2 linked regions of the Oryctolagus cuniculus genome follow. Each later gene encodes a partner of the first gene's protein in a complex. Links are inferred from orthologs where the notes say so. Each region holds a gene or a part of one and is shown in the gene's direction. Other genes may lie near its edges.

Region 1 (14,924 bases):
TCCCAGTTGCTCCTCTTCCAGTCCAGCTCTCTCCTGTGGCCCAGGAAGGCAGTGGAGGATGGCCCAAGTCCTTGGGCCCTGTACCCGCATGGGAGACCAGGAGAAGCACCTGGCTCCTGGCTTCGGATCAGAGCAGTGCGCCGGCCGCAGCGGCCATTGAGGGGTGAACCAACGGAAAAGGAAGACCTTTCTCTCTGTCTCTCTCACTGTCCACTCTGTCAAAAAAAAAATTAATTAAAAAAGATTATAATTAAGATTGTTAAGATTGTAACTGGTAATGTCAGTTAGGAAAGCCCCCGATTCCTCTTGCAGCATGCATGTTTTTGGTAGTGAAATCGATTGATCTCATTCTCCTTTCGTTTGGCAGTGAGGACAGATGGCACACAGCTCCTGTAGCCCGAGTTCCAGGATGCCTCCTGCAGGGAGCTGAGGTAAAACATTTCCTGTCAGCCCCCGCCCCGCCCTGAAAGGCCCTGAAAGGCCCTGAAAGGGCCTGAAGCCCTTTTGGACATGGCCAAGCACACCTCATGGCACAAGAGGCCCCGACCTCCAGGTGTGCCGGGTTGAGAAGTCCTTTCCCTGGAAAGCACCCAAGGCGATCGTGGTCACAGACAGGGTGGGGAGTGACGACCTCACCACTGTGACCAACAGCACTTCTGAAACAGCAGCAGCTACCTGAGCACCAACATTCCCGGTGCCTGTGACGGCAGTTAATCCTCTGCCTGCAGTGCTGGCATCCCATATAGTCGCTGTTCGAGTCCCATCTGCTCCACTTCCCATCTAGCTCTCTGCTATGGCCTGGGGAAGCAGCAGAAGTTGGCCTAAGTGCTTGGGCCCCTGCATCTGCATGGGAGACCTGGAAGAAGCTGCAGGCTCCTGGCTTCAGATCGTCCCAGCTCCAGCCATTGCAGCCATTTGAGGAGTGAACCAGCAAATGGAAGAACTCTCTCTCTCCCTCTGCCTTCCAAAGAAATAAATAAATCTTTAAAAAAAAAAAAAAAAAGAAATGTTTTTATTGGGGCTGGCATTGTGGCCTGCAACCTGGGAAGGCAGCTGAAGAGGGTTCAAGTACTAGAGCCCCTGCCACCACATGGGAGCCGCAAATGAAGTTCCTGGCTCCTGACTTTGACCTGGCCCAGCCCTGGCTGTTGTGGCCATTTGAGGAGCAAACCAGCACATGGAAGATCTCTCTGTTTCTCTCTGTTGATCTGCCTTCAAAAAAAATAAATAAATATTTTTTTAAAAATAAAAAGAAATAGGGGCTGGTGGAATGTATTGTGGTACAACAGTTAAGCTGCCACTTGGGATTCCTGTGTCCTGTATCAGAGACACTGGTTTGAGTTCCGGCTACTCAGCAATTCCAATCCAGCTTCTTGCTGGAAGATATCGCTCTCTGTGTCTCATTCTGCCTTTCAAATAAATAAAAAGAAAAATATTTATTTATTTATTTATTTATTTGAAATTCAGTTAGGGGAGTGAGGGGAAGAGAGAGAGAGAGGGAGAAAGAGAGAGGTCTTCCATCCGATGGTTCACTCCCCAATTGGCTGTAACGGCCGGAGCTGTGCCGATCCAAAGCCAGGAGCCAGGAGCTTCTTCCGGGTCTCCCACATGGGTGCAGGGGTCCCATACAGGTTGCTAGCGCTTCAGGCCAGGACGTTAACCCACTGAGCCACAGCACTGTCCCCGAGAGAGAGAGAGAGAGAGATCTTTCATTTGCTGTTTCACTCTCCAAATGGCTGCCACAGCCATGGCTAAGCCAGGCCAAAGCCAGAGCCTAGAACTGCATCCAAGTCTCCCAAAAGGATGGCAGAGGCCCTGGCACTTGGGCCATCTGCTGCTTCCCCAGGCACATTAGCAAGGAGCTGGATCACAAGTGGAGTAGCCAGGACTGGAACCGGCACTCTGATGTGGGATGCCAGCATCACAAGCGGCAGCTGCCCCACCAGCCCCTATTTCTTCTCTTCCACCTTTCTTCTCTTTAAATCATCAAATATTGTGCATTTAGCATGTGCTATGCATAGGAGGTTATTTTAACCTTTTCTCATCCACCTTCCCTGAACTTCCTAAGTACCCAACCTGATGCTATAGTTTGCTAACTTAATTTTTAAACTGAAAAATAAGAGAATCATAAACATTAAATTGCTCCTAATTCTGAGTCTCCCTGGCTTCTGTCAGGAGCTTAGAGTGGAAACGTGGCAGGGGCAGATAGCAGACACCGAAGAACAAGGTCTCAGGTACTGACGGTGAGTGTGTGACCAGGGGACAAGGTCTGAACACCCGATAGAAATGAGCAAATATTTGTAGAGATTGCATTCCTTACTGATAACGGGGGAAAGCAAATACCCCCTTCCTCACGGGACAGAGAATTGGGCAGAATGGGAGCAACCAGCCTATCAAGGCAGTCTCAATTATCAGTGACTGGGCTGTGTGGTGATGTGGGGCCCCTATAAGTGGGTGGACGTAAAACAGAGGAAGCCCCTGGTGACCTGAACAGAGGGGAGACCATGTGGGAGCACCGGGGTTGACTTTTCTACTTCTAGGTCTTTATGTGAAAAGAAGTGTGGAGGTAAGTGGTGGATGAGCGTCCACTGAGTGTTGGGTTCCTTTCGCACCACGGCTGGTACAGAAAACGTCTGCACGGTCTCTGTCTCTCCCCTTTGCAGAGAACTCCGCTCCAGACATGTGGGGCCTCAGATTCGTCATGGTGCCAGTGGAGCTGCTTCTCTGCTACCTCTTGCTGCACTCTGTGGATGCCACTCTCCATGCAAAGCCGACAAATGTCTCAAAGCACCTTCCCTCATCCTCCCAGTCGCCCTCCTCAGGCTCCTTGTCCTGCCAGACCCTGCTCCCAAAGTCCCTGCCTGGCTTCAACCACTTGGCCCCTCTACCTAAGTTCCTGGTAGGCCTGGCTCTAAGGAGCGCCCTGGATAAAGTGGGCTGCCAGGCTGAAGCACGGGCCGTGCAACGGCAGCTCCACCACTGGGGCGGTGTGAATGCCACCCAGATCCTCATCCACCATCTTCAAGAGCTCCAGGAAGGCGGAACCACAGAGAGGCGAGTGTCCGTGGAAGCCCTGGCCTCTGCCCTGCAGCTGTTAGCCCAGGAGCAGGCAGGCCCAGAGCGGGCCCGACGCTCCCTCCCCCGTGAGAACTGTGAGAATGAGCGGGAGCAAGGTGTGTACAGCATTGTCCGGCTCTTGCCGGGAGTGGGAACCTACTACAACCTGGGCACAGCTTTGTATTATGCTGCTCATAACTGCTCTGACAAGGCCCATGAACGGGGCCAGGATGGGGCCATAGATTTGGGTTATGACCTTCTGATGGCCATGGCTGGGCTGTCAGGGGGGCCCATGGGTCTAGCCATCAGTGCTGCACTTAAGCCCGCACTAAAGGCCGGGGTTCAGAAGCTGATTCAGTATTATCACAGTGAGAAAGAGGCAAACACTCCTCCACCAGAGACTGGCACTGACAGCTTGGGAGGCTTCTTGGATGTGAGTGATTTGGAGGAAACAACCCCCACAGATCCTCTGGGCTCAGAAATGCTGAATTCAGCTCCCTACAGGCAGTGGGAGGTTTTCAACAGCTATGACTCATATCCTGAGGCTGGGAACCTTGTGATATAAAAGAAGGGGGTAACCACAGAATGAATAAATCTGACACGTTGTGTATTCTGACACGTTGTGCATGTGTGCATGTGTTCAAACCCCAAATTCAAAAGTATTACCTTGGAGGAAAGCAGTGCAAGATTTATGCATTTGTTTGAAAGGCAGAGTTATGGGGGGAGAGAGGCAGAGAGAGAATCTCCCATTCACTGGTTCATTCCCCAAACGGTCATCTCGGCTGCAGCTGGACCAGGTCAAAGCCAGGAGCTTCATCCAGGTCTCCCAGGTGGGTGCAGGGGCCCAGGCCATCCTCTGCTGCTTTGTCAAGGGCATTAGCAGGGAGCGCGGAGGCCGGCGTTGCAGACAACGGCTTGATCCACTACGCCACAACGCGGGCCCCAAAACGTAGGAAATTAAAAGGATTCTGCTTTGAGCCCAAGCGCCTCTCGTTAGTGCCTGCGATCACTGACTTGTAACTCCTTTCTGGAAACTCGGTTTTTAAATGTCTAAGGTGGGAATAATTTTCACCTGCAGAGTTTTTTCCAGTGGAAACTGACAATCAGGGTACCGACAATAAATTGTTTATTATTTGGGATTCATTACCTCAGTGTGTCCCTTCCACTCCCAAAGAGTTAAACTTCTGGTTCCACCACTTCCGGTCGAGTTTTTAGTGCTTCCAGAATTCTCAAGATGGTTTCGGTTCTCCAGCCCCGGCGCGGGTTCTCGAAAATCAGCTGTTTTGAGTCCCCGGCTGTTCCGCTCATTGGACTCCTCCCCGTCGCGGGCGCGGGGTGGGACCTACTTGGGCGTCTTGACCAATCACTGGAACTGTAGGTGTGGTTCTGGCGCAGTTTGTTCCGCCCTGCGGAGAGGACGGATTTGTGGCAGCGCCAATGAGCTCGCAGCCTGGGGGAAGGCTCGGTGGAGTGGCAGCCCGCGTCGAGGCGCCGGCTGGGGACTTCGAGCCCCGGGTCTTCAGGCGCCGGTCCAGCCCACTCGGAAGGGGCGGGCTCAGGTGCCAGACGGAATTTGTGAGTGGGTGGGCGGTACACTTTGGTATCTAGCTCCCTCAGGGGACGGAAAGTCGCGTCCTGAGCCACTGGAAGGAGCGGGGACTACGACCCTCACAGGTATGGGCCTTGAGAGGGTGTGCGAGGAAGAGGTGGGGTAAGAGCGGCTGGCTCCAGGGGGTGCGCCCCGTTGGGGACAACTTCTGTCCTCGGTTTGAAGTAGGAGCTGTCTTCGTGCGGGGTCTCTCGCTCTTGTCCGTCCAGCCTAGCTCCCCAACCCTAACGCCCCTTTGTCAAAACTCCCCTGCTGCCCGAGACCCGGCACCTAGCATTATTGCATTGGTTTGATGTCCAACGTATTTGCCTATGCACTGCATTATTTTTTGAAAGATTTATTTATTTGAAAGTCTGAGTGACAGGGAGAGAGAGATTTCTTCCATCCACTGCTTTACTCCCTGAAAAGACTGCAACAACCATGTTTGAGCCCCTGAATCGTGGAGCCAGGAACTCTATCCAGGATTTCCACGTAGGTGGCAGGGGCCCAAGCACTTGGGCCATCCTGGCATGCTTTTCCCACGGGGATTAGCAAGGAGCTGGGTTGGAAGTGGAGTAGCCAGGACCAGAACTGGCGCTCTGATATAGTATGCCGACAACACAAGCAGCATCACTCACTGCACCACAACTCTGCCCCTGCTGCATTATTTTTGATCCTTACCAAAAAAGTGTCCAGAGATAGATATTTTTTATCATCTTTGTTGCATAAAAAGGTACAAAGAACTAAAGTGCAAAATGATATGCTTAAGGGAACACGCAAAATCCATTTCATTTCAGAAAAGTTTGTTGAGTGCAAAATATGTGCCAAAAAATGTATTACAGTCACTTACCTCGATGTTTGCAATCTGGGGAGATCAGGTTTTGTTTTGCTTGTTTGTTTTCATATTTAAATCTTGTTCCTTTAATATAAGCCTTTTAGTTCCTCCAGAATAATGACCTCCTCATTGTTTAAATTTATTATCATTATTTAAATTTCTTAAAAGCAGTAGAGATGCATAGGTTAAAAATTCAAACTTTACTGGAAGAATTAAAATGAAAATTAGGAGCTTCTGCCTGAGTTAGAAGGGCAGCTGGTGTTAATTCATGCATTGTAATAAAAGCAGGTGACATTTTTAGACCACAGATGTGCCCGTTTATTCAGTTCTGTTAGGCTCAAGCTGCAACAAGAAGTAAGTTTTAATTTCCTGAAAAGATATAAGATGGCTGTGGCCACAAAAAGGTGGGGGGAAATATACAAGGCACAACCTGTTCCATGACAAAAAGGAGTTTCAAGTGAGATTTCTGAGTCTTCCCAAAGTTGATAATCCATATGGAGAGCCGAGATTGAATGAGGCCATAAAAGTGTCCGAGTCTAAGAGACAGAGTGGCAAAGTATTTAACATTCTTCCACCGTGGAATTTGTCCTTCCTACCTGGAGGGCAGTTTGAGGAACATTTATTTGATCTCCAAAAAGATTTCATCCCCTAAAACAGCACCAGGCCAGCAGGGATCATGCTGTAATAAATACTTAGGACTGACATCGATCTTTACTCCAGTATAAACACATATGATCACAAACAAATTCAAAATAAAGAGGGTGTGAAATGAGACAGTAGGAATATTAATGTTTCTTGAGGGTGGATGATAAGTACATGGATGCCTTGTACTATTTTATTTAAATTGATGGGGCCAGAGTTGTAATGCAGCAGGTTAAGCTGCCTCCCCCAACACCTGCATCCTATATTTGTGCACCAGTCTGAGTCCTGGCTGAAACCCCGTTTTGATCCAGCTCCCTATTGCTGCACCTGGGAAGGCAGCAGAAGATGGACCAGGTACTTGGGCCCTTGCTACCTACATGGGAGTTCCAGGCTTCTGGCTTCAGCCTGGCCTAGCCATGGCCGTTGTGGTCATTTAGGGAGTGAACTGGCAGATGAAGATCTCTGTCTCTCTCTTTGTCTCTGCCATTCTGCTTTGAAATAAATAAATGCTTAAAAATATTTTAAGTTAGTAATCAATTTATCCTGACTGGACTTTGCATACCATACACACGTGGGGCAGGTGTTGTGGTGCAGCAGGTGAAGACGCTGCTTGCGATGCCAGCAGCCCACATCAGAGTGCTGGTTTGAGTGCCGGCTGCTCTGCTTCTGTTCCAGCTCCCTGCTGATGTGCCTGGAAAGGCAGCAGATGATGACCCAAATACTTGGGCCTCTGCCACCCACATGGGAGACCTGGATGGTGTGCTTGGCTCCTGGCTTCAGCTGTCCCAGACCTGATTTTCTGAACCATTTGGGGAGTGAGCCAGCAGATGGGAGATCCCCTACTCTCCCTCTCTCTTACTTTGTCCTTAAACTAAGTAAATGTTTTTAATATATATATACATATGCTGAAACATCACATAGTACCATAAATATGTTCAATTTTTATATGTAATAAGTATGATTTTTACAATTTAGTCCTGCAAAAAACTCAGTTGGAATCTTGCATCCTTCCATCTCGAAGCCCAGATGGCACAGTGGGAGATGCTGCAGGATCTGGACGGCCCATATCAGGATCTGCTACACCAGCTGTACTCACATAGCCTCCTGCCAGTGGACATTCGACAGCACTTGGCTGCCTGGATTGAAGACCAGAACTGGTGAGAGTTTCAGTAGGTTGGAGGAGATAAAGGAGGGTTTTGTTTTTTTTTTTTAAGACTTACTGTATTTATTTGAAAGGCAGGGTTAGAGAGAGAGAGATCTTCCATTTACTGGTCCACTCCTTAAATGGCTGCAATGACTATGGCTGGACCAGGCCGAAGCCAGGAGCTGGGAGCTTCTTCTGGGTCTCCCACACATGGATGCAGGGGCCCAAAGACTTGGGCTGTCTCCACTGCTTTCCCAGGCGCATTAGCAGGGAGTTGGATTGGAAGCAGAGCAGCTGGGACTCGAACCAGTGCTCTGATAGGGGCTGCCACAATGCCAGCCCCTGTTTCTTTCTTAGGAGTGCCTAAGATCCTGGAGATGTCAAAAGCAGGAAGAGGTTGGGAGGGTTCAGGGCAGAAGCAACCTTGTGGAGACACTAATGCTGTTCCTGGCCCCCAGGCGAGAAGCTGTGCTGGGCAACGATGATTCTAAGGCTACCATGCTGTTCTTCCACTTCTTGGAGCAAGTGAACTTCGAGTGTGGCCGCTGCAGTCAAGACCCTGAGTGCTTGTTGCTGCAACACAACTTGAGAAAATTCTACCGGGACCTTCAGGTACTGGGAGAAGCTGAGACTATAGGGTAGGACTGGAAGCCAAGTGTAGAGTAAGGTTTGGGGTATAGCATGGTACCTGGAAGTACAAAGAGAAGAGCATGGATCTGGGGAAAGAACACAACATGAAGTTGGGGAATCTGCGACAGAGGCTAGATGACACCATCGGGAGGGTGGCCGGGTTTAGGAAACCCAATGGTGAAAAGGGAAATGGCCAGGACCCTGAAGGAGGGGGAACTACAGGGGACAGTGTGGGGAGGGTCAAGGGTGGCAGGACACTAAGAGGGGTCGAATTAGATTATTCCTTCCTCTTCTCCCACCCTAGGCCTTCCCCAGAGGCCCTACCCAATTGGCTGAAATGATGTTTAACCTCCTTTTGGAAGAAGAAAAAATTCTGAATCAGGCTCAGAGGGCCCAGATGGTAAGAACAATCTGCTGGTGGTGTTGGAAGCTCCTGGAGTAGGGAGTGACCGTGAGAAGGACTCTTAGAACAGGATTCCCCACTATATTCTGTGGTATAGTTTCAGGTCTGGCCCTCAGGGCCCAAAGGTCGGAATTGAAATATGCTCAGTCTCTTGTTTCAGGAGCCAGGCCAGCCGGCTCTGGGAGCACCTGTGGAGAGCCAGCAGCATGATATCGAGTCCCGGCTCCTGGATTTGAAGGCTATGATGGAGGTTGGTCAGTGTGGCAAGAGACGGGGCAGGCAGGGCTTATTCTGTGGCCTCCCTCAAAACAAGCCTCAGTGGGACCCCATCCCCTCCGCAGAAGCTGGTGAAGTCCATCAGCCAGCTGGCAGACCTGCAGGACGTCTTCCGCTTCCGCTACAACACACAGGCCCAAGGTCGGGAACATCAGATGGGGGAGAACAGGAGGGGAAAGCTCCAGGGAGTCAAAGTCAACCTTGACTCTTAAGAGGTAGCCAGAAAGTAGAGGGGAGAGAGCCCCTTGACTGACTCTGGCTCCTGTCGTTCAGGGAAGGCAGCCTGTTCGGATCCTCATTGGAACAGACAGCAGCAGCTACTGCAAGAAACCCTCAATGAACTGGACAAAAGGAGAAAGGTGGGCGGGGGGGGGGGGGGGGGGGGCAGGACACTGAGAAAATGGGAGGGACCCGGGGGCTCTTGGTCCTGGCTGCTTCTTCTCAGCATCCCCAGTTGCATGGTGGAAGCTTCAGGTGAGAGGCACTCGGCACTCTTGCTGTCTCTCTTCCAGGAGGTGCTGGATGACTCCAAAGCACTGTTAGGCCGACTGACTACCCTCGTCGACCTGCTGCTGCCGGAGCTGGATGAGTGGAAAGCCCAGCAGCAAAAAGCCTGCATTGGAGCCCTCCAGCAGCCTGGGCTGCAACAGCTGGAGAAGTGGTGAGATGCACCTCCCCAGCCCTGGTCCTTGCCGTGCAAGTTGTAGATAGCCCTGTATGTAGCAGATGTCGCCCGCTGTTCTCTGCTCCCCACAATGATCCCAGCTCACTGCAGCTCTACTCCGCCCTTCACCCTCACCACCCAGGGAGCCCACAGCTCAGTCCTTGCTTTGGTCAAAGTAGTGGATTAATCCATAACCTGACTTTTTTTTTTTTTTTTAAGATTTATTTTATTTATTTGAAAGACAGAGTTAGAGAGAGAGGTAGAGACAGAGAGAGAGGTCATCAATCTACTGGTTCACTCCCCAGATGACCGCAGCGGCCAGAGCTGCGCCGATCTGAAGCCAGGAGCCAGGAGCTTCTTCCAGGTCTCCCATGCGGGTGCAGGGGCCTAACAACTTAGGCCATCTTCTACTATTTTCCCAGGCCATAGCAGAGAGTTGGATTGGAAGAGGAGCAGCCAGGACTAGACCCAGCACCCATATGGGATGCCCGTGTTTCAGGCCAAGGCGTTAACCCGCTGCGCCACAGCACTGGTCCCTGGCTTCTCATTTTTTAAATCACTGCCTAAATAGATTTTCTTTTTTTTTTTAGAAGATTTATTTATTATTGGAAAGGTAGAGTTACAGAGAGGCAGAGGCAAGAGAGAGAGAGAGAGGTTCCTCATCCGCCAGTTCACTCCCCAAGTGGCCGCAGTGGACGGAGCTATGCCAATCCGAAGCCAGGAGCCTGGAGGTTCTTATGGGTCTCCCTCATAGGTGCAGGGACCCAAGGACCTGGGCCATCCTCTACTGCTTTCCTAGGCAGAGAGCTAGACTGGAAGTGGTGCAGCCGGGACTTGAACCAGCACCCACTTGGGATGCCAACACTATGGGTGGTAGCTTTACCCACTATACCTCAGTGCTGGCCCCTAGATTTTCTATTTTTTTAAATTCAGTACAGTGAATATAGGGGTATTTTTAAAATTCATGGAAAATGGAATTTGTGTGTGTGTGTGGAGACATTTTTTTAAAAAGATTTTATTTTATTTATTTGAAAGAGTTACAGAGAGAGGTAAAGACAGAGAGGTCTTCCATCCGATGGTTCACTCCCCAGATGGCCACAATGGCCAGAGCTGTGCTGATCTGAAGCCAGGAGCCAGGAGCTTCTTCTGGGTCTCTCACGTGGGTGCAGGGTCCCAAGGACTTGGGCCATCTTCTACTGCTTTCCCAGGCCACAGCAGAGAGCTGGATCAGAAGATGAGCAGCCGCGACTTGAACCAGCGGCCATATGGGATGCTGGCGCTTCAGGCCAGGGTTTTAACCCGCTGCGCGATAGCGCCAGCCCTGGAAAATGGAATTAAAAGAGCAGTTTTTAGGGGAGACCTAATGGTTAGACTACCAGTTTGGATTCTGTATTGGAGTGTCCAGGCTTGAGTCCTGATTCCAGCTTCCTGCTAATGCACACCCTGGGAGGCAGTGATGATGGTTAAAATAATTGGGTTCCTGCCATCCATATGAAATAGTCTGGATTAAGTTCCCAGCTTCTGGCTTCAGCCTTTGCCCAGTCTTGGCTACTGCAGGGAGAGGCATTTAAGGAGTGAACCAGCAGAGAGGAGCTCTGTCTCTCTATTCATCTCACTCTAGTATCTATTGCCTCTCAAATTAAAAAAAAGAAAGAAAGAAAAAAGAAAAACAAGATTATTTCGGTGCATAAAATTTTGAGATGCATGCTTTTTTTTTCATTATTTACGTTTCCATAACTTTGGGGGGTGTTGTTGAGTGGCAGAGACAGATAGAAAGAGCTCCTATCTGCTGGTTCATCTTCCAAAAGCCTTTAGTGGCCAGGGTTGGGCTGGTCTGAAGCTGAGCACCTAGAACTTAGTCTAGGTCTCCATATGGGTTACTAAGGATCCAGTTGCTTGAACCACCACTGCTGCCTCTCAGGGTCTGCATTAGCAGTAAGCTGGAGTCAAGAGCTAGAGCAGAAACCGAACACAGTTTCTGATGTGGGACGTGGACCTCTTAACCACTAGGCTAAAATGCTCACCCCTCCGGAACTTTCTGAAGACCCCTTGTACAATCCCAAACAAGAAAGTGACCTGTTATCTTACCACCCAGATGTAGTTCATTAGAAATCGATCCATGTTGTTCATGCTATTTTGAAACCTGTTAGTTTGTTTTAACTTAGCAATATATTATGATATTTATCACATTACTTCTTTTTTTTAAGATTTATTTATTTATTTGAAAGGCAGAGCTACAGAGAGGCAGAGGCAGCAAGAGAGAGGTCTTTCATCTACTGGTTCACTCCCCAGTTGGCCACAACGGCCAGAGCTGTGCTGATCTGAAGCCAGGAGCCAGGAGCCAGGAGCTTCCTCCAGGTCTCCCACACAGGTGGAGGGGCTGAAAGACTTGGTCCATCCTCTACTGCTTTCCCAGGACATACCAGAGAGCTGGATCGTAAGCAGAGCAGCCAGGACTCGAACCGGTGCCCATATGAGATGCCGACAGTGCAGTTGACAGCTTTACCCACTACACCACAGTGCTGGCCCCATCATGCTCTCAGTGCCAGCCCATACATACATTTAGGTTATTTTCTATTTCTTACTATTTTATTCCTATTAAACTATTTTATAGTAATTTTTTTTTTTTTTTTTTTTTTTTGACAGGCAGAGTTAGACAGTGAGAGAGAGAAACAGTTGAAAGGTCTTCCTTCTGGCCGGCGCCGTGGCTCAATAGGCTAATCCTCCGTCTAGCGGCGCTGGCACACCGGGTTCTAGTCCCGGTCGGGGCGCCGGATTCTGTCCTGGTTGCCCCTCTTCCAGGCCAGCTCTCTGCTTTAGCCCGGGAGTGCAGTGGAGGATGGCCCAAGTGCTTGGGCCCTGCACCCCATGGGAGACCAGGAGAAGCACCTGGCTCCTGCCTTCGGATCAGCATGGTGCGCCGGCCGTAGTGCACTGGCCACGGCGGCCATTGGAGGGTGAACCAACAGCAAAGGAAGACCTTCCTCTCTGTCTCTCTCTCTCACCGTCCACTCTGCTGTAAAAAAAAAAAAAAAAAAAAAAGGAAAGGAAAGGTCTTCCTTCCGTTGGTTCACCCCCCAAATGGCTGCTACGGCCAGCGCACTGCACTGATCCGAAGCCAGGAGCCAGGTGCTTCCTGCTGGTCTCCCAAGTGGGTGCAGGGCCTAAGCACTTGGGCCATCCTCCACTGCCTTCCCGGGGCACAGCAGAGAGCTGGACTGGAAGAGCAGCAACTGGGACTAGTATCCAGCACTCCAACCAGGACTAGAACCTGGTGTGCCAGTGCCACAGGCGGAGGATTAGCCTAGTGAGCTGCAGTGCAGACCTATAGTAATCTTATAATATGTAAATAAATCACTATTATATCATTCAACAAGTTTGAAAAATACCTACTGTAAGGTCGCCACAAAACACCAAACACAGATTAAGGGAAAGGTTTATTGTCAGGTAAGGGAAGCCCGATGGGCCAGGAGGAGAGGGCAAGAGAGTTAAGAGAGAGAGGAATCAGGAGAGAGAGAGCATGCATGCTGGAAGCAGGTCCTGTTAAACCTTTGCCAGGGGACAGGGAAGCAAATCCCATTAGGGTGTGGGGTTGGAACTGACATTAGTGGTTGGGCCATGGGGCTTGGTGACCAAGGCCAGGGATAAGATGGCGCCCGGGGCATAAATGGCACCACAGATAATAAGACTTTGCCATTTTACTAACACCTACACTTAAAAGTATTTTCTCATAAGAAAGTTCATTATAATTCAAACTTTTAAAAATGTATCAGGGGCTGACATTGTAGTACAGTGGGGTTAAGTCACTACTTACGATGCTGGCATCCCATATCAGAGTGTTAGTTTGAGTCCTGGCTGCTTCACTTCTGATTTAGCCTATTTTTTTTTTTTTTTTAAGATTTTATTTATTTGACAGGTGGAGCTAGAGACAGAGAGAAAGGTCTTCCATCTGCTGGTATACTCCCTAAAGAGCCACAACTGCTGGAGTGCAGGGTCCTAAATACTGGGCCATCTTCCACTGCTGTCCCAGGCCATCAGCAAGGAACTGGATCAGAAGAGGAGCAGCCAGGACACAAACCAGAGCCCATATGGGATGCCAGTGCCACAGTTGGAGGCTTAGCCCAATGCACCACAGTACTGGCCCCTAGCCTACTGTTAATGCAGACTGGGAGACAGCAGGTGGTGGCTGAAGTGCTTGAGCCCCTGCCACCCATGTGGGAGGCCAGGAAGGAGTTCCTGGCTCCTGGCTCTAGTCTGGCCCAGTCCTGGCTGTGGCAAGTAAACCAGTAGATGAAAGACCTCTGTTTCTCTGCCTAAAAAATCAATAAATATATTTTTAAAAATAAATAGAAATGTACCACAACTGTCCATGTAAGTTGAAAACCAGGTACGCAGCCAGCGCTTAAACTTCAGTTGTGAGTGTATCTATCCGTATGGGGTTGACAAACTGCAGCCTGCCTGTTTTTTTTTTTTTTTTTCTAAGATTTAATTATTCTCTCTCTCTCTCTCCCTCCCTCCCTCCCTCCCTCTCTCGATCTGTCTTTTCCCCTTTCTCTGTAACTCTGCCTTTAAAAAAAAATAAATCTTTTTTTTTTTTTTTTTTGATAGGCAGAGTGGACAGTGAGAGAAAGGTCTTCGTTTTCCGTTGGTTCAGCCCCCAGTGGCCGCTGAGGCCAGTGTGCTGCGGCCAGCGCACTGTGCTGATCCAAAGCCAGGAGCCAGGTGCTTCTTCTGGTCTCCCACATGGGTGCAGGGCCCAAGGACTTGGGCCATCCTCCACTGCACTCCCGGGCCACAGCAGAGAGCTGGACAGGAAGAGAAGCGACCGGGACAGAATCCGGTGTCCCGACCTGGACTAGAATCCAACGTGCCGGCGCCGCAGGCGGAGGGTTAGCCTATTGAAAGAGAGAGATCTTCCAATCGCTGGTTCACTCTCCAGATGGCCGCAACTGCCAGCACTGGGCCAGGCTGAAGCCAGGAGCCAGGAGCTTCTTCCTGGTCTCCCTCCTCTACTCCTTTTCCCAGGCCATTAGCAGGATTGGAAGTGGAGTAGCCAGGATGCTTTCATATATCCCATGAAGCCCGTATGGGATGCTGGCATTGCAGCATCAGCTTTACATGCTATGCCACAATGCCAGCCCCTGAACACACTTTAAAAAACTTATTTATTTGTTTGAAAGACAAGGTAACAAAGAGGAAGACAAAGAGAGAGAGAAAGAGAGAGAGAGGTTGGTGCTATGGTACAATGGGTTAAAGCCTTGGCCTGAAGTGCCAGCATCTCATATGGGTACCGGTTCTAGTCCCAGCTGCTCCTCTTCTAATCCAGCTCTCTGCTATGGCCTGGGAAAGCAGTAGAAGATGGCCCAAGTCCTTTGGCCCCAGCACCCACTTGGGAGACCCGGAAGAAGCTCCTGGCTCCTGGCTTCAGATAGGCACAGCTCCAGTTGTTGCAGCCATCTGGGGAGTGAAGCAGCAGATGGAAGACCTCTCTCTGTCTCTACCTTGCTCTGTAACTCTGTCTTTCAAATAGAATAAAATAAATCTTAAAAAAAAAAAGAGAAAGAAAGGTTGATTGATTTTCCATTTGCTGGTTCACTCTCCAAATGACCACAATTGGCATTCTCAGGAAGTCCATGAAAGGGTTGCCCACATGGGTGGCAGGGGCCTAAGTATTTGGACCATCCT
Region 2 (14,687 bases), on another chromosome or scaffold:
CTTCCAGTCCAGCTCTCTGCTGTGGCCCGGGAGGGCAGTGGAGGATGGCCCAAGTGCTTGGGCCCTGCACCCGCATGGGAGACCCAGAGGAAGCACCTGGCTCCTGGCTTCGGATCAGCGTATCTCCGGCCGTGCAGCCATTTGGGGGGTGAACCAACGGAAGGAAGACCTTCTCTGTCTCTCACTGTCTAACTCTGTCAAGTAAATTGAAAAAAAAAAAAAAAAAAAAAAGTTACACAGAGAAGGAGAAGCAGAGAGAAAGAGGTCTTCCATCTGCTGGTTCACTCCCCAGTTTGCTGTAATGGCCAGAACTGTACCTACTCGTAGCCAGGAGCCTCCTCTAGGTCTTCCCATGCGGGTACAGGGGCCCAAGGACCTGGGCCATAGCAGAGAGCTGGATTGGAAGTAGAGCAGCTGGGACTTGACTGGTGCCGGCACTGTAGGTGGCAGCTTTACAGCTTTACCCGCTACGCCAGTGTGCTGGCCAGAGGCAGGTGTTTTGTACAGTGGTTGACACTGCTCAGGGCGCCTGCATTTCTGTCGAGTGCCTGGGTCTGCATCCTGGCTCTGCCTGGTGTTTTAGCTTCTTGCCAATGCACGTCCTGGCAGGCAGCAAGTGATGGCTGAAGTAGTTAGGTCCCTGCCACCCACGTGGGAGAAAGAGACTGAGTTCTGACCTGGCTTCAGCCCCTGCTATTGTGGGCACTTGGGGAGTGAAACAGTGGATAGAAGATTTTTCTCTGTGTCTCTCTGCCTTTCAAATAAAATTTAAATTTTAAAAAAGACACAGGGAATTCTCAAACTGTAAGTTCCCTTAAAATCGATTCTGAAGGTTCCTTCCAGATATCACAGGTTGGAATGTTAAAAAGCATAGGTTTTGGTAACTGCTGGTCACGGCGGCAGTGAAACACCTCTGCCTCGGGGAAGAGTGAGATTCATCGAGAGCCGAGAACTGGACGGGGCCTCTGGGGGCCATTGCAGGAAGCTGGCCCCAGTGACTAGGGTCTTGGCAGGTGTGCCCCCTCCAGCTATCGATTCTGATGTCTCTCCCTTCTCTTGTCCCCCTAGGATGGGATCGGGCAGGGCACGATGCACCCGGAAGCTCCGGAACTGGGTGGTGGAGCAAGTGGAGAGCGGGAAGTTCCCAGGTGTGTGCTGGGACGATGCAGCTAAGACCATGTTCCGGATTCCCTGGAAACACGCGGGCAAGCAGGACTTCCGGGAGGACCAGGATGCCGCCTTCTTCAAGGTGAGGGCAGGGAAACAAGCAAGGGATGGATTAGACAATGGTACGCTCACCCCTGGTGCTGGTGTCTGTTAGGGTTTCAGATCCAGGGCACGTTGGCAAATAGAACCAGCTGTGTCGTTTGCAGAGCCTGGTGCAATGTGAAGGCGCAACAGTTATTAAGTGAAAATTCAGAGCTTATTAAGGATTTTGAGATGGCAAAAGCAAAGTACACATGCAGCCCAAGCTGGTTTGAGCCAGGGGCCCTGCACAAGTGCTCAGGCCACAAGCCCGTGAGCCAGCCCTGTGGGAGGTGCAGCCGGGCTCTGTAATGTGCAGCCTCCTGTTCACTTGGTCTCTGTAGGCCTGGGCCATGTTTAAAGGCAAGTACAAAGAGGGAGACCCAGGAGGCCCTGCTGCCTGGAAGACTCGCCTGCGCTGTGCCCTCAACAAGAGTTCTGAATTTGAGGAGGTTCCCAAGAGAGGCCGAATGGATGTTGCTGAGCCCTACAAGGTGTATCGGCTGCTGCCACCAGGAACTCCATCTGGTGAGTGTCCCCTTGCCCAGCCACGCCCAGAACCAGCAGACCAGGGGAAAGGACAGAGATGTGAGCTCTGGAAAGGTGGCAGGCCTCCGGAGGCTATCAGTTCTGCCCTGACCCTGCCCTTGGAGAGCTGCTCCCAGTTCCCCTTCCCAGTCTTGCCCAGCCCTTCACTCCCTCAGCCCTTCACCCTCTTTTCCTCTTGAACACCTGACTTTTCTCTCCCCCTCAACAATTCCACAGCCCAGCCAGGGACCCGGAAATCAGCATCAAGGCGACACCACAGTTCTGTGTCTTTTGAGAGGGAGGAAGATGAGGGTATCACAAGCAACTGCATGGTCAATCCCGCCTCCCTCCAGGACTCCCTGGATAACGTGAGAACTGGCGAGGGAGCTGGGTGGGCCTGGGGGCAGGAGAGTACCTAGGACTGGGGGAGATTGGCCAGTGACAGGTACTGTGTGTGCAGGCAGAGATGGTGGCCACTGGGGAAGCAAACCACTCAGACGCCGGGAACAGCAGCAGCAGTAGCAACGGCGGTGGCAGCCCAGAGCCACAGGAAGGTACCACCTCCCGGGCTTCTTATGTCATCCCACTTGCCACAGCTACTGGCCCAAGGGCTCCCTAGCCCCACTCTGACCGGTGCCTTCGCCTTCCTTCCAGGTGCGAATGTAACTGAGGCTGCTGTGCAAGGGGATATGGTGGCCTCGGAGCTTCTGCTCCCTCCAGACCCAGGTTCTTAGCATTTCTGAATCTTTCTTGCTCTCTGTGCTCCTGGAGCCTTCCTCCCCTCCCCACGCATGCGTTATCTAGCCAGTCAGGGCGTGCAGCAAACTCTCCCATAGGCAGAGGTGCCAGCCTCCACAAAGCTTGCTCCTCAGAAACACTGCTGTGAACTCTGTTGCCTGGATATCCGTATGGAGACCTGATTTCTTTGAGGTAAACAGAGGCCCCGCCTTGAGGGACCTTGTTGTGAACCATAAGACCTCAGGGTGGATACGGACCTTAGCTATCTCCTGAGTGGTAGGAAGCCCCCGGTTGGTGAGAGAGCCCGGGGAATGATGATGAGGAGAGGCTGCCACCCCCGCTTCCTGGCCTGCCTTGTCTTCTCCGGCTGGGTTTCCCTTCCTGGGTCTCTGTCCTCAGCAGCAAAATGAGAACCTTGGATTTGCAAGGAGCTTCGTTTCCTTTCCCTAAAGCCTTGTGCGGGCCAGGTGCCCCTGGAGAGGGGCTGCCAGCCGTGAAGCCCTCTGGCACCAGGTACAGCTGGGCTCTTCTGTCCCCAGACTACTCGCTGCTGCTCACCTTCATCTACAACGGGCGTGTGGTGGGTGAAGCACGGGTGCACAGCCTCGACTGCCGCCTCGTGGCCGAGCCCTTAAGCTCTGAGAGGAACATGGAACAGGTGGTGTTTCCCAAGCCTGACCCCCTGGAGCCCACCCAGCGCCTGCTGAGCCAGCTAGACCGAGGCCTCCTGGTGGCCAGCAACTCCCGAGGCCTCTTTGCTCAGCGGCTTTGCCCCGTCTTCGTCTCCTGGGATGCACCGCAGGTCCCGCCTGGGCCAGGCCTGCATCTGCTGCCCAGCAATGAGTGTGTGGAGCTCTTCAAGACTGCCTACTTCTGCAGAGGTGAGGCTGCTCCGGCTGGGCCTCTGAGCCCCTACCCTCTGACCCGGGCCCCTCAGTAGGCCTTGGGCTGACCTGGCGGGTCCTGCTCCTCCCTGCCAGCCAGCAGCTTCCCCACTGCGGCCTGTGCTGGGCACCCCTGCACTCGTTGTGGCACCTCCTCTGTGGTCCTGTGCTCGGCGCTGGCAGCTGCCTGGCCCCTCTCCTTCCCCCGTCAAGGCTGTGGAAGATGGCATTGGGGTGGAGCCTGGTACAAGAGCATTGCTTCTCTGGGAGCACTATCGTCACCCTGAAGCTACTTATGCAGAGGTGTGGGCAGGTCAGCACGGGCACTGGGAACCTCACAGCCCTCTCACATCTGCGCTGGCCTGCAGAAGCATTGGCACATGGTGGGGAGCGGACACACCTGCCGCACCCTGGCCCCAGCTATGCCTGTCTCAGCTACACTCGAGGCATCCCTGAAGCTTGTCTGCAGCTCCCATCCACTCAGAATTCCAGGTCTAGGCCCACTCGACTAAACCTGACCTTCAGGGCAGGCCAGAGTTCAGGGGAATTGGGGTGTGGGTATTCCCAGGGTGTGGATGCCTCAGCACTGGGAGAGTGAGCAAGCGAAAAAAGCTGGAGCACATCTGCGCTGGCAGCTGGGCGTCTGTCGTGGAGGACTCAATTCTGGCTGGGGCGAGCCTTTGTCGTGCGGAAGGTCTGCTGCCTCCAGACACTTATTCGAGGCAGGGCCCCACCTTCCTGTTTGCTCACAGATGAGTAACAGCTTCGTGCCCGACCTTCGTCCTGAGCCTGCAGCTTAGTCTCCTGGTGGCCCCTCCCACCTCTCTATTCCCTCCCGGCCCGTGGTTCTCACTCCTCTCTCTTCTTTCCTCCAACCCTCGATCCTTTCTCTTTCAGACTTGGCCAGGTACCTCCAGGGCCTGGGCCCCCCACCCAAGTTCCAGGTGACACTGAATTTCTGGGAGGAGCGCCCCGGCCCCAGCCACACTGCACAGAGTCTTATCACAGTGCAGGTGAGTTCAGAGCTCGGACAGAGTAGCTTGGGTGATGGGGACGGGAAAGAGTTCAGGGAAGGAGCTCCTTGCGGGGCGCACCTGCCATGCTGCACTCGCTCACAGCCTCTTTCCCGTCTCTTCTGATGCAGATGGAGCAAGCTTTTGCCCGACACTTACTGGAGACCCCAGAGGAGCAGGCAGCCATTCTGTCCCTGGTGTAGGGCATGGGAACCCACCTTCTGCCCCACCCCTCCGCTCCCACTCCTGTCTCCCTTGAAACAGACTCGTTGTCTGCACTGTTGGTCAGTGCCTCCCTTCTTGATCACTCTCAGTGCTGTGGTAGTTACGTCCTTGAACTCCTCACATCGTGGCTGGTGGAGAGCTCAAGGATAATTTTTATTTTAAACACATTTTTTGAAATATACCCTCTTTCATCTCTAAAGGACTGGGAAATTCCAAATGATGTGAACTCAGGGGGCCTCTCCTTCTTCCCTCAACCCTCAACTCTAAAGCCAAGCACTTTATATTTTCTTCCTAGGTCTTCACTAAGAATTAAAAATAAAATTTTATTGAAAGAGGAATCAGCATTCAGTTTGCCGGGAGGAGAAGGTGGCAGGGGCGACGGGCGTGACTGAGATGTAGACTTAGGGGCAGGGCACCTGAGTTCTCCTCTGCTGACCTCTCTGAGGCCCCTGTCCTCTTCTTGGCTCTGTGCTTCTGGGCCTGGCGAGGTGCCCTCCAGGCAACCAAGATTAGGGAGAGGACTGATGGCAACCGTCAAGGGGGGTGCTGAGCCTGTACCCAGGCGCTGTAGCCACCAACTTCACATGGGAAAATCTGGGTTCCACAGTTCTTTGTTGAGGCGCGGGGGCCTTGCAGGGAAGAGTCGCTGCCCCTCCTCTGCTTGCCACTCCTGCCTCTGTGCTTCTTCCCCCAGCACAGCTGATAGACGGGAGCTCCCAAGTGGATTTCTCTCCGCACCGGAGCCCCAGAACACAGTGCGGCCGAGTTTCACGTCGCCAACACCCTGCTCACTGAGATGGGAGGGCTGCCCGTCTCATCCCCGCGTTCATTTTGCCACCACACTGGAAATGCTCCCTTCCCAAGGCCACGTGGCGCCTACTTCCTGTAGGCTCAGTTCCACCAGACTGCTTCCACCTGCCTGTTCGCCACAGCCTGGAGCTTCCCCTCCTGCACGGACACGGGTTGGCTCCCCAGACTTCCTGTCATGTCACCCATAAGCTTTCAGCAGCTCACCCAAGTGACCGAGTGTAGACGCCTTCACGGTCCTCCCAGGGTCTCCGTGCTGTCCCTCTTGAGGAGCTTCACTGCTGCCTCAGACCCCTCTCCCTTCTCCCCTCCAGTCTTGTCCGCCACGCGCTGGGAAGCCAAGAGCCTAAACAGACCTCTGCACCGGTAAGGAAGAAATCTGGTGCCCAAGCCCATGGTCCCCCCAGCGCACTGAAATCACTCCCAGACCTTCTTTGTGCAAGATCTAAATTACCTACATCAGTTCCAAATTTTCTCATACCCCACATCCAATCCCTCAGCAAATCCCACCATCACTGTACTTTCAAAATCTCCAGAATCTGACTACTTCTGTCGCTTCTATCACCACCACTTTGAAACACACCATCATCATTTCTTGAGTGCCTTCTTCATGCTTTCTTGTTACTTTTTTGTTTGTTTGTTTGTTTGTTTTTGGACAGGCAGAGTGGACAGTGAGAGACAGAAAGGTCTTCCTTTTCCGTTGGTTCACCCTCCAATGGCCGCTCCACCCGGCATGCTGCGCTGATCCGAAGCCAGGAGCCAGGTGCTTCCTCCTGGTCTCCCATGCGGGTGCAGGGCCCAAGCACTTGGGCCATCCTCCACTGCCCTCCCAGGCCACAGCAGAGAGCTGGACTGGAAGAGGAGCAACTGAGACAGAACTGGCGCCCCAACCGGGACTAGAACCCGGTGTGCCGGCGCCACAGGCGAAGGATTAGCCTAGTGAGCCAGCTGAAGCGCACTGGCTGCAGCAGCCATTGGAAGGTGAACCAACGGCAAAGGAAGACCTTTCTCTCTGTCTCTCTGTCTCTCTCACTGTCCACTCTGCCTGTCAAAAAAAAAAAAAAAAAAAAAAAAAAGGCAGCCAGGACACAAACTGGCATCCACAAGGCATACTAAGTGTTGGAGGTGACACCTTTACCTGCTATGCCACGATACTGGCACCTGCATTTATTTTCATTTTTTATTTGAAAGGTAGAGATCATCCATGGCTGGTTTACTCCCCAAATGCCTGCAACAGCTGGGGCTGGAACAGGCTGAAGCCAGGATCCAGAAACCCCCTCTGAGCTTCCCACGAGGGTGACAGGAACTCAGGTACTTGAGCCACCATCTGCTGCTTCCCAAGTGCATTAGGGAGCTGGATTGGAAGTGCAGTATCCAGGACTTGAACCAGCAATCTGATAGGGAATGCCGGCACTGCTGGTGGTGGCTTAATGCACTGCACCACAATGCTTGCCTCCAGTCAGAAGTCTTCCATCTGCTAGTCAAATCCCCAGATGGCCACAGTGGTCAAGGGCGTGCTGGGTGGAAGCCAGGGGCCCAGAACTCAATCTGGGTTTCCCATGGGAGTGGCAGGGACCCAAGTACTTGAGCCACTGTCTGCTGCACCCCAGGGTGTACATTAGCAAAAAGCTGGATCTGAAGTGGAGTAGCCAGGACGTGGACCAGGCACTCAGATACAAGCTGTGGGCTCCCCAGGCAGCAACTTAACCGCTGTGCCAAACCACTACCCCTCCTTGTTTCCTAAACTGGGTTCTAAGCACCTTAAGGGCAGATGTCCCCACTCCATCACCTTTGTGCCCCCAAACTGAGCACTTAACAAATGTTGACAACTTTTATACAATATTCCAGCAATTTGTAAGTATCACGGACAAAGCGATGTAGCCAAGCACAGTGGAATAGAGATTGGGAAGATTTTGGAATTTGAAAGAGCAGAGAGTTCCAAACCAGGCTCTCCCTGAGGAGCTGTGTGGTCTGGAAGAAGCAATCTGCATGGACCCCTGTTTCCTCATCCATAAAGGCAGGCCCTGGCCCAGACCAGCCTTGACCTTCCGCAGTTGTAAATATAGGGCAACTGTGCATTCATTTGCCAACTAATTGCTGCGCTGGAGGCCAGGCACTCACTGAAAACATTACGACCCCAGTCTTCAGAGCTCTCAAATGGAAGGGAACTGCAGCAGGACAGGTCAGCTCCGCTGCAGCGAGGCCCAGGGCGTGGGCAGAAGCACAGGACAGGGAAAGGATTCCAGGCCAAAGAAATGGCTGTGCAAAGGCAGGAGGTGCAGCAGTAAGAGCTATTTGGAGCTGCGACCAAAGAACCCGAGTTGATGCAAAACCAACTGTTTGCGACAGAACGGTATTTGGAGGAGGAGGAGAAGGACTTCCAACAAAGCTAAAGTCTAGTTCAGCCAGCAGAACATTCACATTCACAACCCCAGAAGGATCAGGTTAGGCCGTGAGTCCGGCGGGGTCTCCCGCTGTTTCCGGGGAGATAGACTCCCGGGGGCTCCAAGGCCACCCTGCGCCACCTCCCTAGCCCAGGCCCTAGTGGCACGCGGAGTTGGACTTGGTGGAAAGTGGGGGGCAGGGCAGGGTCTAAACCCAGGTCAGGAGCCCGCCTTACATCTTGCCATCCTGAGCGGTTGCCCCCCGCATGACCCGACCTCCCCTACGACCAGTTGCACTTTGTTACCAGGCTTGCTGCGGGTCGGAGCGGGGTTTGCTCCCCGCTCATTGGTCTGCCCGGAAGCGCCTCCCAAAAGTCCTTGTTACTAGAGGCGAAAAACAGAGCCCATTGGTCAGGACACCTCACAATGGCCCTGGCAAGGCGCAGGGTTCTTCTGATTGGTTCTGTGCCTGTCTTGGGCAACCCTGTGGCCTCGAACCCAGGCAGCCTGCTTGGCGCCGGTGGGGGAAGAGCGCTCGCACCCGACACCTGCTTGCCATTGGCTGGCCGGGCGCTGCCACCCCGCGGCGGGGCTCGCTCCTGCGCGAGGGCGACCCCTGGTGGCCGAGACCAAGGCTTTGGAGCCCGGCGTCTCTCCCCGGCGTCAAGGACGAAGGCTTGCTGCGGGACCAGCCCGGTTGCCAGCCCTGCCTGGCCTCCCCTCGGAGCTCCAGTAAGGTCGATGGCTGTACGCGGTGCGTGAACCCACTAAGGGCGCGCCGAAAGGCGGCCCTGTCGGCCCCCTTCACGTTGGTACACCAAGCGTAGCTCTGGGGTCCTCCCGCAGCGCCACCTGTGGAGGCCAGTGCCAGGAGTTAGGATTGGAATCCCATCGCCGCAGCGGCGGGGAAGCCCTGAGGGACGATGTTCTACTACCCCAACGTGCTTCAGCGCCACACCGGCTGCTTTGCCACCATCTGGTGAGGACGCGGCCGGCCGGGCGGCGGGGACGGGCTCCCGGGGCTCCAGGTCTGATGCGGCCCCGGCTCCTCGCTGCTCCCTCCAGGCTGGCGGCGACACGTGGGAGCCGCTTGGTGAAGCGTGAATACCTGAAGGTGAACGTGGTAAAGACCTGGTAAGGCCGGGAAAGGGGGGAGGGGAACGGCTGGGGGCCGTCGTGGGCACTTTGGTGGTCACGGTGCGTTGTTCCCCGCAGCCAGGAAATTCTCAATTATGTGCTGGTCCGAGTGCAACCGCCGCAGCCCGGCCTGCCGCGGCCCCGCTTCTCCCTGTATCTCTCAGCGCAGCTCCAGATCGGCGTGATCCGGGTCTACTTCCAACAATGCCAGTACCTCGTGGGTAAGGCTGGAGACCCCAGTGGCAGGCAGAGCCAAGAGGCCCTCCCTGTGCTGGTTCCACCTTGCCCTCCTTGCCCACAGAGGACATCCAGCACATTCTGGAGCGCCTGCACCGGGCCCAGCTGCAGATCCGCATCGACATGGCCGAGCCTGAACTGTGAGCACCGATGCAGGGCTGGAACCGCCCAGCCCTGGGGGAAGCATCGGCCTGCTCAGCCTTGGGCCTTGTTAACCCACATTCTCTCCCAGACCCAGCCTGCTGCTTCCTGACCACCTGACCATGATGGAGACCCTGGAAGATGCTCCGGACCCTTTTTTTGGGGTCATGTCTGTGGACCCCAGACTGCCCAGCCCTTTTGATATCCCTCAGGTAGGGCTCATTGGCCCAGAACAGCTCAGACTTGTGAGCTGACCGTGCAGATGGGGAGTCCTGCCCCTGTGCCAGTCTGACCCTGGGGTGGGGGAAAGGGAGCCTGCCACAGCTCTCCCCAACAGGGCACGGTGCAGGGGCACCGCCATGCTGGACCCTCCAGGCAGAGGGCCTTCGACTTAGCTACTCAAGGCCAACCTGTCTCAACTCCACTCATCTCCACGTTACCCCCACTGCCCAGACCCTCATCATCTCCACCTGGGCTTCCTGCCCGTGTCCTCCTCTGTCCATTCCCGACACTGCTATGGTTCACGCTGTGCCCCCTCTCCCTGGCTCCCTGCTCGAAGTAGCTTCCAACTGCAAGCTGCACACTAGCAGCTGGGGTTCTCCATGCTGAGGTCCAGGCCTAGCCATCCCAGCTTGTCTCAGCACGGCCCCTGGCTCCCAAATGCCAGTCTGGTCCCTACATCCCAGAGATGCCACATTTCTTAGTCCATGATGGTCACTGGCCATTCTCTATTGCTCAAGCTCTGTAAATCCTTACAGACCTGGCTTAAAGGCTACCTTTTCCATGAAGTCTTTTTTTTTTTTTTAATATTTGTTTATTTGAATGTTAGGAGTTATACATAGAGAGGAAGAGATCTTTCATCAACTGATTCACTCCCCAAATAGCTATAATGGCTGGAGCTGGGCCGGACCAAAGCCAGGAGCCCGGAGTTTCTTCTGGATCTCTCATGTGACAGCACAGGCCCAAGCACTTGGGCCATCCTCCACTGCTTTCCAGGCACATTAGCAGGGAGCTAGAGTGGAAGTGGAGCAGCCGAGACATGGCTTTACCTGCTATGCCACAGTGCCATCTGCTTTCATGAAGTCTTCATCCCCCTCCCAACAGAACCCAGTGCTATTCAGGAACTCAGTACAGCTCAGTACTTTCCCAGGGGCCTGTCTGATCCTTTGCATGGACTCTTGTTGGGGTCATATACAAACTGGTTTCCCTGCCTCGGTCCCTCACAGCAGTTCACATAGGGCATAGTGCTTCTTGCACAAGACACACTGACAAAGGCTAGAGAACTGGAGGTGGGGTGGTGAGGGCAAGGAGGAAAGCAGACCAGACAGCCAGTGGGCTCACTGCATGCTGCTGGCGATGCAACAAGAATTAGGCGTAGGGGCCAGCGCTGTGGCATAGGGGGTTAAGTCTCCGCCTGCAGTGCTGGCATCCCACATGGGTGCTGGTTCGCATCCCGGCTGCTCCTCTTCTGACCCAGCTCCCTGCTAATGGACCTGGGAAAGCAGTGGAGGTTGGCCCAATTTCTTGGGCCCCTGCACCCATGTGGGAGACCCAGATGAAGCTCCTGGCTTTGGCCTGCCCAGCCCCAGCTGTTGTGGCGTTTGTGGAATGAACCAGCAGATGGAAGATCACACTCTCTACTTCTCTCTGTATCTCTGCCTTTCCAATAAGTAAATCTTTAAAAACAAACAAAATTGGGCATAAAGGGCACCAGATCACTGTCCACTGCCTGTTGTTGCACAAGTGGGAAAGCGGGGGGCTGAAGCTGAACTGTCCTCTTTTGCTCCCCATCCTCCTCCGAAGATTCGACACCTCTTAGAGGCTGCAATTCCAGAAAGAATGCCTGAGGAGGCCCCTCCTGAAGTCCCTGCAGAGCCCAGGAAGCCAGGTCAGCAGAGAGAACTTCTGGTGAGAGGCACAGGAAGGGCCGACCACTGAAGGAATGACTGGATTTAAGAGCCAGGCCCGTGTGTGTGTGTGTCACCTCCTCTGTGCCTCACCAGAGTCCTGTGAGGTCAGGATCCTTAACCCCACTTTACCGGTGAGGAAAGCGAGCCTAACAGTGGTGAGCACCCAGGGCTGGGCCGCTGGTAACTGGCCTGGGCCTGCCCAGAACCAGGTGGACTTGACTCGAGTCCCGTGAGTGTGGGAACAGATATGGTGGGGTGGGTGTGACTCCCCAGTCCCACCAGACAGGATCTTGTTCACAGTGCTGCCCCCTGAGGTCATCACCCTCCAGGAAGCAGAGCCCATCCGCATGCTGCATATTGAGGTGAGGTGGCCCCCAGCATGACCTTCTCCATCTCCCTGGCCTCATCCCTGTCTCCTGGGGCCCCGCCCCATGGCATGCCACACCCCTTGCCCGTCCTCTCCCTGCAGGGCGAACGGGACCTCCCGGAGGTCAGCCGCCGAGACTTGGACCTCCTCATTGCAGAGGAAGACGAAGCTATCTTATTGGAGGAGCGACGGCTGGCCAGGCTGAGGGCCCGCCCACCACCGGAAGGTGGGAGCCCTGGCTCGGGCAGCCTGGGACGGGGCAGCGCTCCCGTGGCCTCCGCCCCTGAGTGCTGATCCTCTCTCTGCAGAGGCCGTGGAGGAGCCCCGGGCCCCAGAGCGCGACATCACAGTGCCCCCTCTCTCGCCTCCAGCTCCCGTCCAGTAAGGGCAGGGATCCTGCACCAGGTGGCGGGCCCCGTGCTGGTTAGGGCAGCCGGGCAGCCTGACTTCTCTTGCCCGTTGTCTCCCAGGGTGGAAGGGATAGCAGAGCCAGTTCCAGTCCCGGTCCTGGTCCCCGAGGAGGTGAAGCTGGCAGCCTGGGAGCCCGGGGCCCCACCCATGGGTGAGTGACACCACAGCTGCTGCAGACAAGGCCACACGTCCACTTGCCAAAGGGAGGACGACAGTGCGGGGGCGGGCAGGACAGAACCATGACCCCGGTGTTGTTACAGAGGTGACCCCATCGCCAGAGCTACGTCTGCCGCCCCCACCCAGCCCGAAGGTGAGTGTTCCTCCTCCTCAGCGTCCCTCCTCTCCCAGAGCTGCTTCCCCAAGCCCAGTGACACTGCTGGCTCCCCTGGGGCCTGGCTGAAGAGCAGTCCAGGATGCTGCTTTTCCACACCCCATCATGTGGCCTGCACGTCCCAGCTGGTCCCTTCATGCAAGGTGTCAGCCGCACGTGTGGGCGGCCGTGCCCTAGCCCTTCCCCCAGGCACCTTAAGGGGGTGGGCGGAGCGTGGAGCTGTAGCAGCCACCAGGGTGACAGGAAGGGAATGACGCCTGGTGGCCCCTTCCTTCCCCGCTCTGCAGAAGAGGCCCCCAGGGCCCCCATCTCCCAGGAGTCCCCCTGCTCGCCGCCGCCGCCGCCGCCAGTTACTGTTCTGGGACAAGGAGACTCAGATCTCCAGGGAAAAATTCAAAGAACAGCTGCAGACCAGGGCCCACTGCTGGGAGTGTGTGAGTGCGGCCCTGGGAGGGCACAGGTGTGGGCTGGGGGCGGGGCCTGGGAACCTGATGTGGGTTTGCACCTCCACAACTTGCCGTGCTGCGTCCGCGGCCCCACCTGGCACATTCACAGGCACCCGGTAGTCCTTTAGCACGAGCAGGGCAGGCAGGCTGTAGTCTGGACAGGTAGGTGAAGGGGCGCCGAGGCGTGGCTTGCTCCTGAGGCTCCTGTCTCCTGCCACCACGCAGCCCATGGTGCAGCCTCCGGAGAGGACCATCACAAGCCCCACGGAGCTGCTCCGGACCCCGACGTACCGTAAGGAGGGCGGGGGTTGGGCGCAGGGCTCTTCAGGACCGAGTCCTCCCTCTTGGTGACAGGGCTCTGTCGCCACTGCCCCTTCCCCATCAGCCGGCCGGCTTCCCCTGGAACTACTGGCTTTGTGGACCCGCTGTGCCCAGACCCCCGCAAGAGCGCTCAGGCGAAGGCCGCCCGAGGAGGTGGAGGAAGAGGAGAGAAGGGCTGAGGCTGTCAGTGAGATCGAGGTACCCACACCCCACCCCTCCGCCCCCGCCCAGCGCACGCTGCAGGCTCACTGGCCCCGGACGCTCGTGAGGCCGGGGTCTGAGTTCTCCTCCTCCCGTCTCCAGGTCCTGAGGGAAGCCCAGGAGCCCAGCGGTCCCCTCATGGTGTCTTCAGGTAAGCTCGGGGGAGGGGTCTGGGCCCGCCCGTGGCCCAGCTGTGAGGGACTGGGGTGAACTAACGCAGGGCACTCTCCAGTCCTCCCGCCCGGAGGGGGCTTCCCGAGCCTGTGGGAAAGCGCTGATAAGAGAGAACACAGCTTTTCCCAAGGCAGCACACAGCACAGACAGCTGGTCTGGCTGGGTGCCCCAAGGCAGACTGCTCAGTGCCAGTCACACTCCCCTGGGCCCCCTGCCGCCCCCACAGAGCTCTCCCTGGAGCCCGCCGAGGAGGAGAAGTCGCGGATCAGCCTCATCCCCCCAGAGGAACGCTGGTGAGAAGCCAGGCTGTGTAGGCCCAGCCTGCAGTGTAGCCACCGGCTAGGATGGGCGTGCCCTGATCCCAGCCACAGCGCCGCCTTCCAGCTCCACTCAACTCCCATGTCTCCCTAGGGCCTGGGCTGAGATGGAACAGCCAGAGCCCCCGGCGTTGCCGGTGGTGCCGGAGCTCCCAGAGGTGCCCTTGGAGATGCCCTCCGAGCTGCCACCAGAGCCTGAGCTGCTGTCCCTGGAGGCTGTGCACAGGTGCTGGGGTGGGGGCGCCTCCGTGGGGAGGGCCAGGCTGGGGCCTTGCTCACCCTTCTCCATCCCTACAGGGCAGTGGCACTGGAGCTGAGGGCCAAGCGGGAGCCTGACTTCAGCAGCCTGGTGTCCCCGCTCAGCTCCCGCAGGGTGGCTGCGCAGGTCTTCTACCTGCTCCTGGGTGAGTGCTGGCCGTGTGTGCACACGGGGTGGTGAGCCCCCCGCACAGGGCCATGTGGGGACTCCTGCCTGCCCTCTTCTCCCTCCTGACCAGTGCTCGCAGCGCAGCAGATACTGCATGTGGAACAGAAGAAGCCGTACGGGCGCCTCCTGATCCAGCCAGGGCCCCGGTTCTACCGAGGGTAACGCCCATTTTACAAAGCTGCCAGGAAACTAGCTCCATTAAACCATATTCTGCCTCACTGGGCCCTGCCTGCTTCATTTCTGAACACATACCTCTGTCCAAGCAGAAAACAAGCTGCCTTTATTACGGTATGATGTCATGACTCCACTTGTGACAAATCCAGCTCCAGGGACACCCCTGTAAGGCAGCAAGCCGGCTGACTCAAAGGAGATCGACTCTTTGGTAAGGTGCAAGCTGGAGCTGGCTTGAGAGGTGACCTTAGGTCCTGGGCAGGCTCTGTTCT

What was found.
Region 2: the proteins of STAT2 (region 1) and IRF9 are in contact, whole or in part, in a crystal structure (PDB 5OEN), measured with the Mus musculus proteins. The link is inferred for Oryctolagus cuniculus from reciprocal best matches to the Homo sapiens genes STAT2 and IRF9. Residues at the interface, in NP_064347.1 of Mus musculus: Arg163, Gln164, Lys166, Asp167, Glu168, Asp170, Val171, Phe174, Arg175, Thr177, Val178, Phe179, Leu181, Lys182, Asp188, His190, Gln191, Gln193, Gln194, Leu197, Thr201, Lys204, Met208; in NP_032420.1 of Mus musculus: Leu206, Leu208, Tyr212, Leu233, Asp234, Arg236, Ser244, Glu245, Ser246, Ser247, Met248, Asp270, Arg271, Leu274, Val275, Ala276, Asn278, Ser279, Arg280, Phe283, Val284, Gln285, Leu287, Cys313, Glu315.

The regions. Positions count from the first base shown.
Region 1 is NC_091442.1:59,165,512-59,180,435, reverse strand, and holds the start of STAT2 (signal transducer and activator of transcription 2), read left to right. Parts: upstream 1-4,506; 5' UTR 4,507-4,731; intron 4,732-7,097; exon of another isoform or gene 7,098-7,143; 5' UTR 7,144-7,148; coding exon 7,149-7,279; intron 7,280-7,724; coding exon 7,725-7,878; intron 7,879-8,200; coding exon 8,201-8,296; intron 8,297-8,459; coding exon 8,460-8,549; intron 8,550-8,640; coding exon 8,641-8,716; intron 8,717-8,848; coding exon 8,849-8,934; intron 8,935-9,087; coding exon 9,088-9,236; intron 9,237-14,924. Other genes in the region: APOF (apolipoprotein F), read left to right, coding at 2,681-3,622. UniProt on the Homo sapiens protein: Signal transducer and activator of transcription that mediates signaling by type I interferons (IFN-alpha and IFN-beta).
Region 2 is NC_091443.1:51,022,556-51,037,242, reverse strand, and holds the end of IRF9 (interferon regulatory factor 9), read left to right. Parts: intron 1-1,068; 5' UTR 1,069-1,069; coding exon 1,070-1,249; intron 1,250-1,589; coding exon 1,590-1,773; intron 1,774-2,010; coding exon 2,011-2,141; intron 2,142-2,218; coding exon 2,219-2,327; intron 2,328-2,427; coding exon 2,428-2,499; intron 2,500-3,050; coding exon 3,051-3,392; intron 3,393-4,292; coding exon 4,293-4,408; intron 4,409-4,539; coding exon 4,540-4,611; 3' UTR 4,612-4,971; downstream 4,972-14,687. Other genes in the region: meiotic recombination protein REC8 homolog, read left to right, coding at 8,748-8,803, 8,890-8,958, 9,040-9,182, 9,263-9,338, 9,431-9,551, 11,143-11,227, 11,550-11,611, 11,719-11,842 and 11 more.